Linked DNA regions of Solanum lycopersicum. The protein of the gene in region 1 interacts with the protein of each later gene in a biochemical or structural test. Links are inferred from orthologs where the notes say so. Each region holds a gene or a part of one and is shown in the gene's direction. Other genes may lie near its edges. The genes, in order: protein NAP1 and protein PIR.

Region 1 (3,827 bases):
TAAGGGTCAAAATTTGTTATCAATTTTGGTATTAGGTGTGCAAATTTTCCGGGATCTCATCTGTTGGGTGTTTTCTTCTATCATAGTTTTGATATTTGTTTGTTGGAAAAAGTATAATTTCGTTATCAAAAGTTGATATAAATAGTATATGCACATAATCAAGCTCACTCTTCTTGATCAGATGCTTCTTGACCTGATGGCATTTCGAGAACACGCCTTGCGTCTAATATTGGATCTAAGCAGTACAGTGATTACCTTGTTGGTGAGTGATGATATCAACTTTTTATCTCCAACTAAAGTTGTTGTTAACACAAGAAAGGAACTTTATATAGCTTAACTTACTCTTTTCAAATAAAAAAGGACTGTTATAGCCTTTATAATTTTTGTCTTGAGTCTTGACTAATAGGTAAGCTGAGTCTTCTTATAACGAAATCGTATGTGATATATTTACATGTTTCTTTTGCTGCAGCCTCACCAGAACTCTCTCATACTGCATGCGTTTATGGACCTTTTTTGTGCTTTTGTTCGTGTAAATATATTTTCAGAAAAGGCAAGTACACAAACAATTCTCTATCTATTATTTTCTACTCTGTATATTGTTGAGATGACACTTCTACGCCGTAAACTGTTCTCTTTATCATCCATCACAGATACCAAGGAAAATGATGTTGCAAACATACAATTTGCTTCATGCCATGGCAAGAAATGATAGGGACTGCGATTTTTATCACAGGTGAAACTTCTTATGGATCTAGGCTTATTCTCATTTCTTATAAATTTTTTTTGAGCGGGGGGCTGAATAGGTCTCTTTAGCTTAATTTTGAATAACTTCAATATTTCTCTTTCTTTCACTCCTTAGAGTAATTTGTGTTACATGGCAAGGACTTAGGCTCTTTAGCTTCATTTTAAATAGATTCAAAATTTCTCTTTCTTTGACCCCTAAAGTAATTTGTGTTTCATGGCAAGGCATTGGTATCTTTAGCTTCAATTTAAGTAACTTCAAAATTTCTCTTTCTGTGAACCCCTTGAAGTAATTGTGTTACATGAATCTGATATATAGTTTGCATTTTGATATACTGCTTATTCTTTTCAAAGTCACCCTTTTGTCTACATGATGAACAACATGCCGTTGGTTGGACAAGTTTTCATGGTTACAAAGGAGTGGCTCTTTACTTGGTTATCAGTATCATCTATGGGGTTCTTCTAGGTTAGGACATCAAGCATGTGAAGAAAATGAGTTATACTTGATATCTGCAATGGGAAGTTTAGTCTTTATGGTGAGACTATTTCCAACGATGACTTTCCATTTGCTTTGAGCAATTGAGGGTGGATACAGTGAGCCAAATTTTGTAGATCCTCTTCTGTTATTTTAAATTTTTTATGAAGTAAGATGTCCATTAAAATTTAGATCCTCTTCTTTTCTAACATATATATTTGATCCATTTAGTAAAGCCTTGTTTTTCTGCTTAATACCTGCGATGGAAAGGAATGCTCTTCTTAGCCAGACAACAGTAGTTTTAATTAATTGATCATAATGTCAAAAGTATGAAATGGTGGTTGAGCTGGTGGAAAGAATAATTAGCTACATCCAGCTTTATGATATATGGTAATCTCTTGGTGGATTGTAGTTTCTCTGGTTGTTGTCAGAGGGCTCCGGGAAATTATGTTGCCCTTGAGAAAGCATGATCAGATCTAGAAGTTTATCATGATGTCAGGTTTGTGTGGCGCCCACAACGGGACGGCAGGCTGATGAGGGTGGATTAAGGAGAAGGATTGGCAGGGTTGTAGGTTGGCAAGCTTTTGAAGAAGGATGTGTGTATGCCACCTTAGGCGAATCTCATATTGGTAGGGGAGGGGAAAGTGAAGTCTTATATAAGACATATCACAGGTTCACATTGTACATGGGTTTTGGACTTGATGTGGCATAATTCAAGAAACAAATCCGTGAGATTTGTTGGGACAAAGTGGACGACATGTGCTATGGGATTAAGCTGCAACAACTATGGTATCGGAGACAAACCCTCGCAGTACGATGGTGTGGCAACCTTCAACCAGGATGCTGAATCCTTAATGGGGTTCCATGTGCTGACCATGAAAAAGGGAGGGCTTAAGAGAGCGGGTTAAAGAGAATGACATGTAGAGTTCTAACTTTTGAAAAAGGGATGCATATAACACCTTAGCCAAACCCAACATTGGTCTAGAGGAGAGTAAAGCTATATGAGACAGAGCATAAGCTCAAATGGTACGCGTGTTCTTTGACTTGATGTGATAATTCCAGGGGATCAGTTTGTGAGGTTTGTTGGGACAGAGTGGACATACATATCATATGAACCTAAATGCACTGAAGGGTTCTGTCTCCACAACAATCTTTTATTAGCTCCTAGCTTATTTCTCCGGCAACTGGTTGACATATCTGCCACTCTTTTGGGAAAGAACCAGTTGATATTAAAGATGGAACAGTGTCGTGCAATCTAAGAATAAAAGGTGCCCAGGGTTGAGGAAGTTGAGGCGCTTTTTCAGTGGCTGTGGAAGTACAATCAAGAACACGATGCTTGTGTGCTGTAAGTCTTCATCATATCTTTATTTGGTTCATGGAAACATATCAGATTTATGGGTTGAGTTCTGGACATTTCATGGGATTGGGAGGTAGTCGGAATATTGGATTCTGGTAGTATGCAAGGATTGGGCATACACCTCTGAGGGAGGAACTTTCAGTCTTTTCAGTATGAATAAATTATACAGTCTGTGCCGAAATAACGACTGGAGTGTCAACTTCAGAAGGAAGCTGGTTGATTGGGAAAATAGATAGTCTAATCCTACTAATTAGCAAGTTCGGCAAGAACACATTTACCATTTTTTAAAAAAAGAATGGGTAGGAGATGGGTCAGACATAGGGGTGGCATAGTGGAAGCATGAAGGAATGTATACTGTGAAATATGGCTACAGAATGCTCTCCGAGATGACAGTAAAGTCACAATATTACTTGTGACAAATGCTATGAAAACTGAAGTCCCATCTAGAGTTGCCTATTTTGAGTGGACTGCCCCTCATGAAGCATGCCTAACTATAACTTGATGGAAGGAGTTCCCCAATTGGAAATGGTTAACCGTTTGTTTTTGCATTGTGCTTTGACAACAGAGATGTAGTGCATATTTTAAATCTTTTGGGGTTCAAAAAGATGATGCCTACAATTCCAAGAGAAAGGGTTGGAAGTGCAGGAAAGCACAAAGGAACATCTTAAAAATTTGAAATGCTATTTCACATCGACTAATCCCCCCCACCCCCACCCCACCCCCACCCCCACCCCCACCCCAGCCCACAAAATAGAGAGGGAAAAAGATCTGATTGCCATACCTTTATGTGTTTTATGGGTCAAATGGACAAAACCAACAAGAGATGCTTTAAAGGAAGTGAAAAGACTCTACATGGATTGACACATGCTTGTCAACATTTTATTATGGTGTAACTTAAATGTTGTACATGACATAGATAACCTGATAAATTTTGTTAGTTCACAATAGTCAATTATGATGAGACATTCTGTATTTTGTGTATGCTGATCACTCTACTCTGAATGAAAGTGATTCTATATAAAAAAGAAATATAAGCAGTTCCGCTGATTTCTTTCTTGTTTTGCTTTTCCAGGTTAATCCAGTTTGTTGATTCCTACGATCCACCCTTGAAGGGTCTGCATGAAGACCTGAATTTTGTCAGCCCTCGTATTGGAGAGGTCTTTGCTCCTGAATACCGCATTCTTGTAGAGAAGTTAAATTATTCATTTACAATGTCAAAAGGAGTTCTCGTGTCTAACTTGCGGTACTAATGCT
Region 2 (3,827 bases), on another chromosome or scaffold:
ATGAGAAGGTCTTCCTTAAGTTGATTGCAATCAAGAATTTCTTATTTGCATATTTTATTGAAACACTCTTAGTAGCATATTTCTGGGGTAATATCTTTTAAGGAGTTGTATATTCTTGCTCAGTGTATACTGAGTGTGGTCACTCTTTGCTCCAAATTTTTGTTCTGATTTTTCAATTTGAAAGAGTTCTTGAAAAGATAGGAGCTGTTGTGCCCCCCTAAAAAATTGTGTAACCACCAAATCTTAGAGGTAACCCCAACACCCCTTACCCAGAGCATCTAAGGGTGTGGAAAAGGCAAGATCCTGGTTTTGACCTTTGAACTACCAGTCTGCCTGGATGAATGGGCCAAATCTTGGTGGGCCCTTCACGGTGCAAAGGAGAGAACGATGGCCAAGAAGAAATGGTAAAAGCCACAGGTCCCACAAAATCCTATTTAATTGTTTGTTTTTTCTGGGTGCTTGCACTAGAGAAACAATTGAGTATCTCATGAAGCATCAATCATAAATTTTATGTTTATAATGAAGTAGCCTAAATTTGGAATGAGATGAGCCTGAATAGAGCATAATAAATGCGGAGGATTCTCATAGTCCACTAGACTAGTTAGGGATTAAGCTTAGTTGATCGATTGAATGAAGCAGCTTAAAGAAATCTGTTACATGGTGGTTCTCCATTTCCCCACTATTTTGTACTTCTCATAACACCAGGAAGTTCAACGTAACCATCCATTTAATAGAACTTCTTCCTATTTGAAAGTGTTTCATTTGTTTGTCATATTCAATATGCCAGGACATTCACACAAGTTAGTGTGCAGTGGCAAGATACAGATTCAATGAGAGAGGAGTTGGATGATTTACAGGTATATATCTACTTCTCGTGTATGTTTAGGTTTTTGAATAATGTTAACTTGCACGTATTTGTATGTGCTGAACATGAATTGTAACGTACTTGCAGATCTTCTTGAGCACGAGGTGGGCTATTTTGTTGAACTTGCATGTTGAGATGTTCCGTGTCAACAAGTATCCTTCAAATGTTGATTCTCTACCCAGAGGAATGGTGAATCAATGTTGCTGCACTGATTGAATTCTGTTGCATATGAATGTTATGTATTTATGACTGGATGCTCATGACCCTAAGATCTGTCATGATAAATCTTATGTTATTGGTGGCTAATCCAAAGAATAAAGCTCAAATGAAGTAAAAAAACTAAAACCTATCGGAGAAAGGCGGGCCTTTTTAAATTTAGATGCTTGCGCCAACTGATTAACCATTCTTGTATTTGATGCTAGACCTGACCTGCTATCTGATGAAATTAATTCCCTGCACAACATCAGTGCCTCTCCAGCAATTCTCTCAGCCAAGACTAAATATGATGACCATTCTGATGCAGATTGTGAGTCCGATCTTGAAATTGTGTTGCAAACACTACTCAGAAGTGTTATTCCAGAAGCAGAGAGACCACTGGTTTATCAACCTAACTATGACTTCTCCTCTCACTCTAGTAGTTCTCTCACCCATGGAACCAAGTAAGTTCGAACTCTTGCACCCAAGGGTGTTGCAATGAAGTGGTTGTGAACCTTGAGGTTTTGGTTCAAAACTAAGTGGAGACGGAAAACACTAGGTGATTGTTCCCATTTGTCCTCTGGCAGAATTACTTGGTACTTGTTGCTGGTGGGAGGTGGCAGGTATCCCGTGCAATTAGTCGAGGCGTGCGAAAGCTGGCGCGGACACCACGGTCATTAAAAAAAAAAGTAGGTTCGAACTCTCACACAATCACAACCCATGTGATAGTGACTTTGAGGTGGACCAAAATTGTAACCGTTAAGGATTGTAATTTTTCTGGTGTCAACATGTCACTGTTTGAGCATGAATTCTGAACATTATCCAGCATATGGAGCAAAGGTGGCAGCTGCAACTACAACAAAAAAATCAGCATGCAAACAAAGAAAGAAAAAGAGATCAAATAAGGATATAGAGTTGGAGAAATTAAAATTCTTGGTCAATTATGATGAAGTGAAACTCTGAAAGATGGGGTGATAGCACTGGAAGGGGTAGGTTTTTCAAATCCCATTCTAAATGAAGCTACAGATGCTCAAGTGGTATGTGTGGGGTTAGATGAAAGCAATAAAACAAAACATTGAAATTTTTAATCCGCAAGTTGAAAACTGATATACTCTGCCAGTATGCCTTCAAGAAACCAAATGAGGAATGGACATCTAGCTTATCTCAAGTGGGAGATATTGCATGCCCTCAAGATACCAATATTGAGGAATGGACATCTAGCTTTTCACAACAGGTGTTTGGAACTGGATGGATTGGCTGGGCTGAATTACAATCTAGTGGCAGTAGTGGTGGGGAGATAACACTATCGAACAAGAGAAGTTGGAGCTGTATAGGAGAGCAACACGGATCCTACACAATTTGTTATATGCTCGAAAGTGTCCAAGAGTATTTTAGGTGGTGTTGCACAGGGGTTTATGGCCTTCATACAAATCCTCAAAGAGCAAAACTTTGGGATGAGCTTGCCGTAATTATAGGACCATGGAATTATCAGTGGGTGATAGGGGGTGATTATAATGTTTGCAGATATGAGAGTGCATGTTTAAGCTGCACCAGAAGATCAAAGACAATGAGAGGCTTCTCAGAAACAATTGAAGATCTGTGCCCTATAGACATGCCTTTAGAAGGTGCAGCCTTTATCTAGTCTAGGGGTGAAAACACACTTTATCAAGAATAGACAAAATTCTAATTGCTAATGAATGGAGCAACACCTTCTGGAAGGTTAAACAGACGTTCTCAGATCATAAACCCATAATGCTTGAAGGTATTGAGAAATAAACTCCTCATACTTCAAAGTTGAAATTTGGGAACATGTGGCTACAAGTTGATGGGTTTATAGACTAAGTTAAGGTGTTGAAACTGATAGATAGTCTACCCACCTATATTCTGTCCCTATGTCTTATCCCCATGCTTGTGTTGAAACTGATAGATTCAGTTAAAAGGAATTTTTTGTTCTAACTTTGATGAATAGAGTTATCTAGTACCTGTTGTTGGTGGGAGGTGACAGATATCCCATGGAATTAGTTGAGGTGCGCACAAGCATCTGGACACCACAATCAAAAAAAAAAGTTAAAAAGGAATTTTCGTGAAGAAGGCAATAAAACTCACAAATTCCATTTGGTAAAATGGAAAGCAATAACACAACCAAAGTCCCATGGTGGCCTGGGAATCAAAGACCTCACGACCCAGAATGAAAGTATGCTTATGAAATGGCTAATGGAGGTACTCACAGGAGGATCAAACCCTTTGGAAGAAGGTGCTGAAGGAAAACATGGAGGGGTGGAGTCAAAGTTTTTACTGAGTTGAGTAGTCTCCGGCCCCTTATATTCTTTGGTGCACCCGTAGCGTTCCTTGTTGTATAGAAGATTAGGTGGAGTTTGTAGAGAATCATGTTTTTTTTAAGATTCTTTACCTTTTGGTATACCCCTTGTATACAGTCAGTTTTGGCCATGTTTATGTATGAAAATACATTTACTTGATAAAGAAAATGCTAAGAGATCTGATAGCTATAAAAGTGCGATCAGTAACCAGTTTGTGATGTAGCCAACTTGGATTTGTGATGTAGCCAACTTGTATGTCCTGCTAGATTGGCTCAAACAATTGGAACTGAATAGAATCTGTTTGAGAGGATCTTATATTAGAAAGGTAATCAACTTTCCAACCTTGATATCATTGGTCCGTTCTTTTAGCATTGTATTTCACGTGTCTGAAGTACCTTTTTATACTAAGCCACTTGATTGAGTATAGCACAAATGATGGAAAACTGACA

What was found.
Region 2: the proteins of protein NAP1 (region 1) and protein PIR form a complex in vitro, tested with the Arabidopsis thaliana proteins (2 studies listed by BioGRID). The link is inferred for Solanum lycopersicum from reciprocal best matches to the Arabidopsis thaliana genes GRL and PIR121.

Annotation. Positions count from the first base shown.
Region 1 is NC_090801.1:54,801,462-54,805,288, reverse strand, and holds part of protein NAP1, read left to right. Parts: intron 1-181; coding exon 182-262; intron 263-469; coding exon 470-550; intron 551-650; coding exon 651-733; intron 734-3,645; coding exon 3,646-3,730; intron 3,731-3,827. UniProt on the Arabidopsis thaliana protein: Involved in regulation of actin and microtubule organization. Part of a WAVE complex that activates the Arp2/3 complex.
Region 2 is NC_090810.1:6,869,470-6,873,296, reverse strand, and holds part of protein PIR, read left to right. Parts: intron 1-787; coding exon 788-857; intron 858-952; coding exon 953-1,017; coding exon of another isoform or gene 1,018-1,054; intron 1,055-3,827. UniProt on the Arabidopsis thaliana protein: Involved in regulation of actin and microtubule organization. Part of a WAVE complex that activates the ARP2/3 complex. Interacts with the active form of RHO-family GTPases.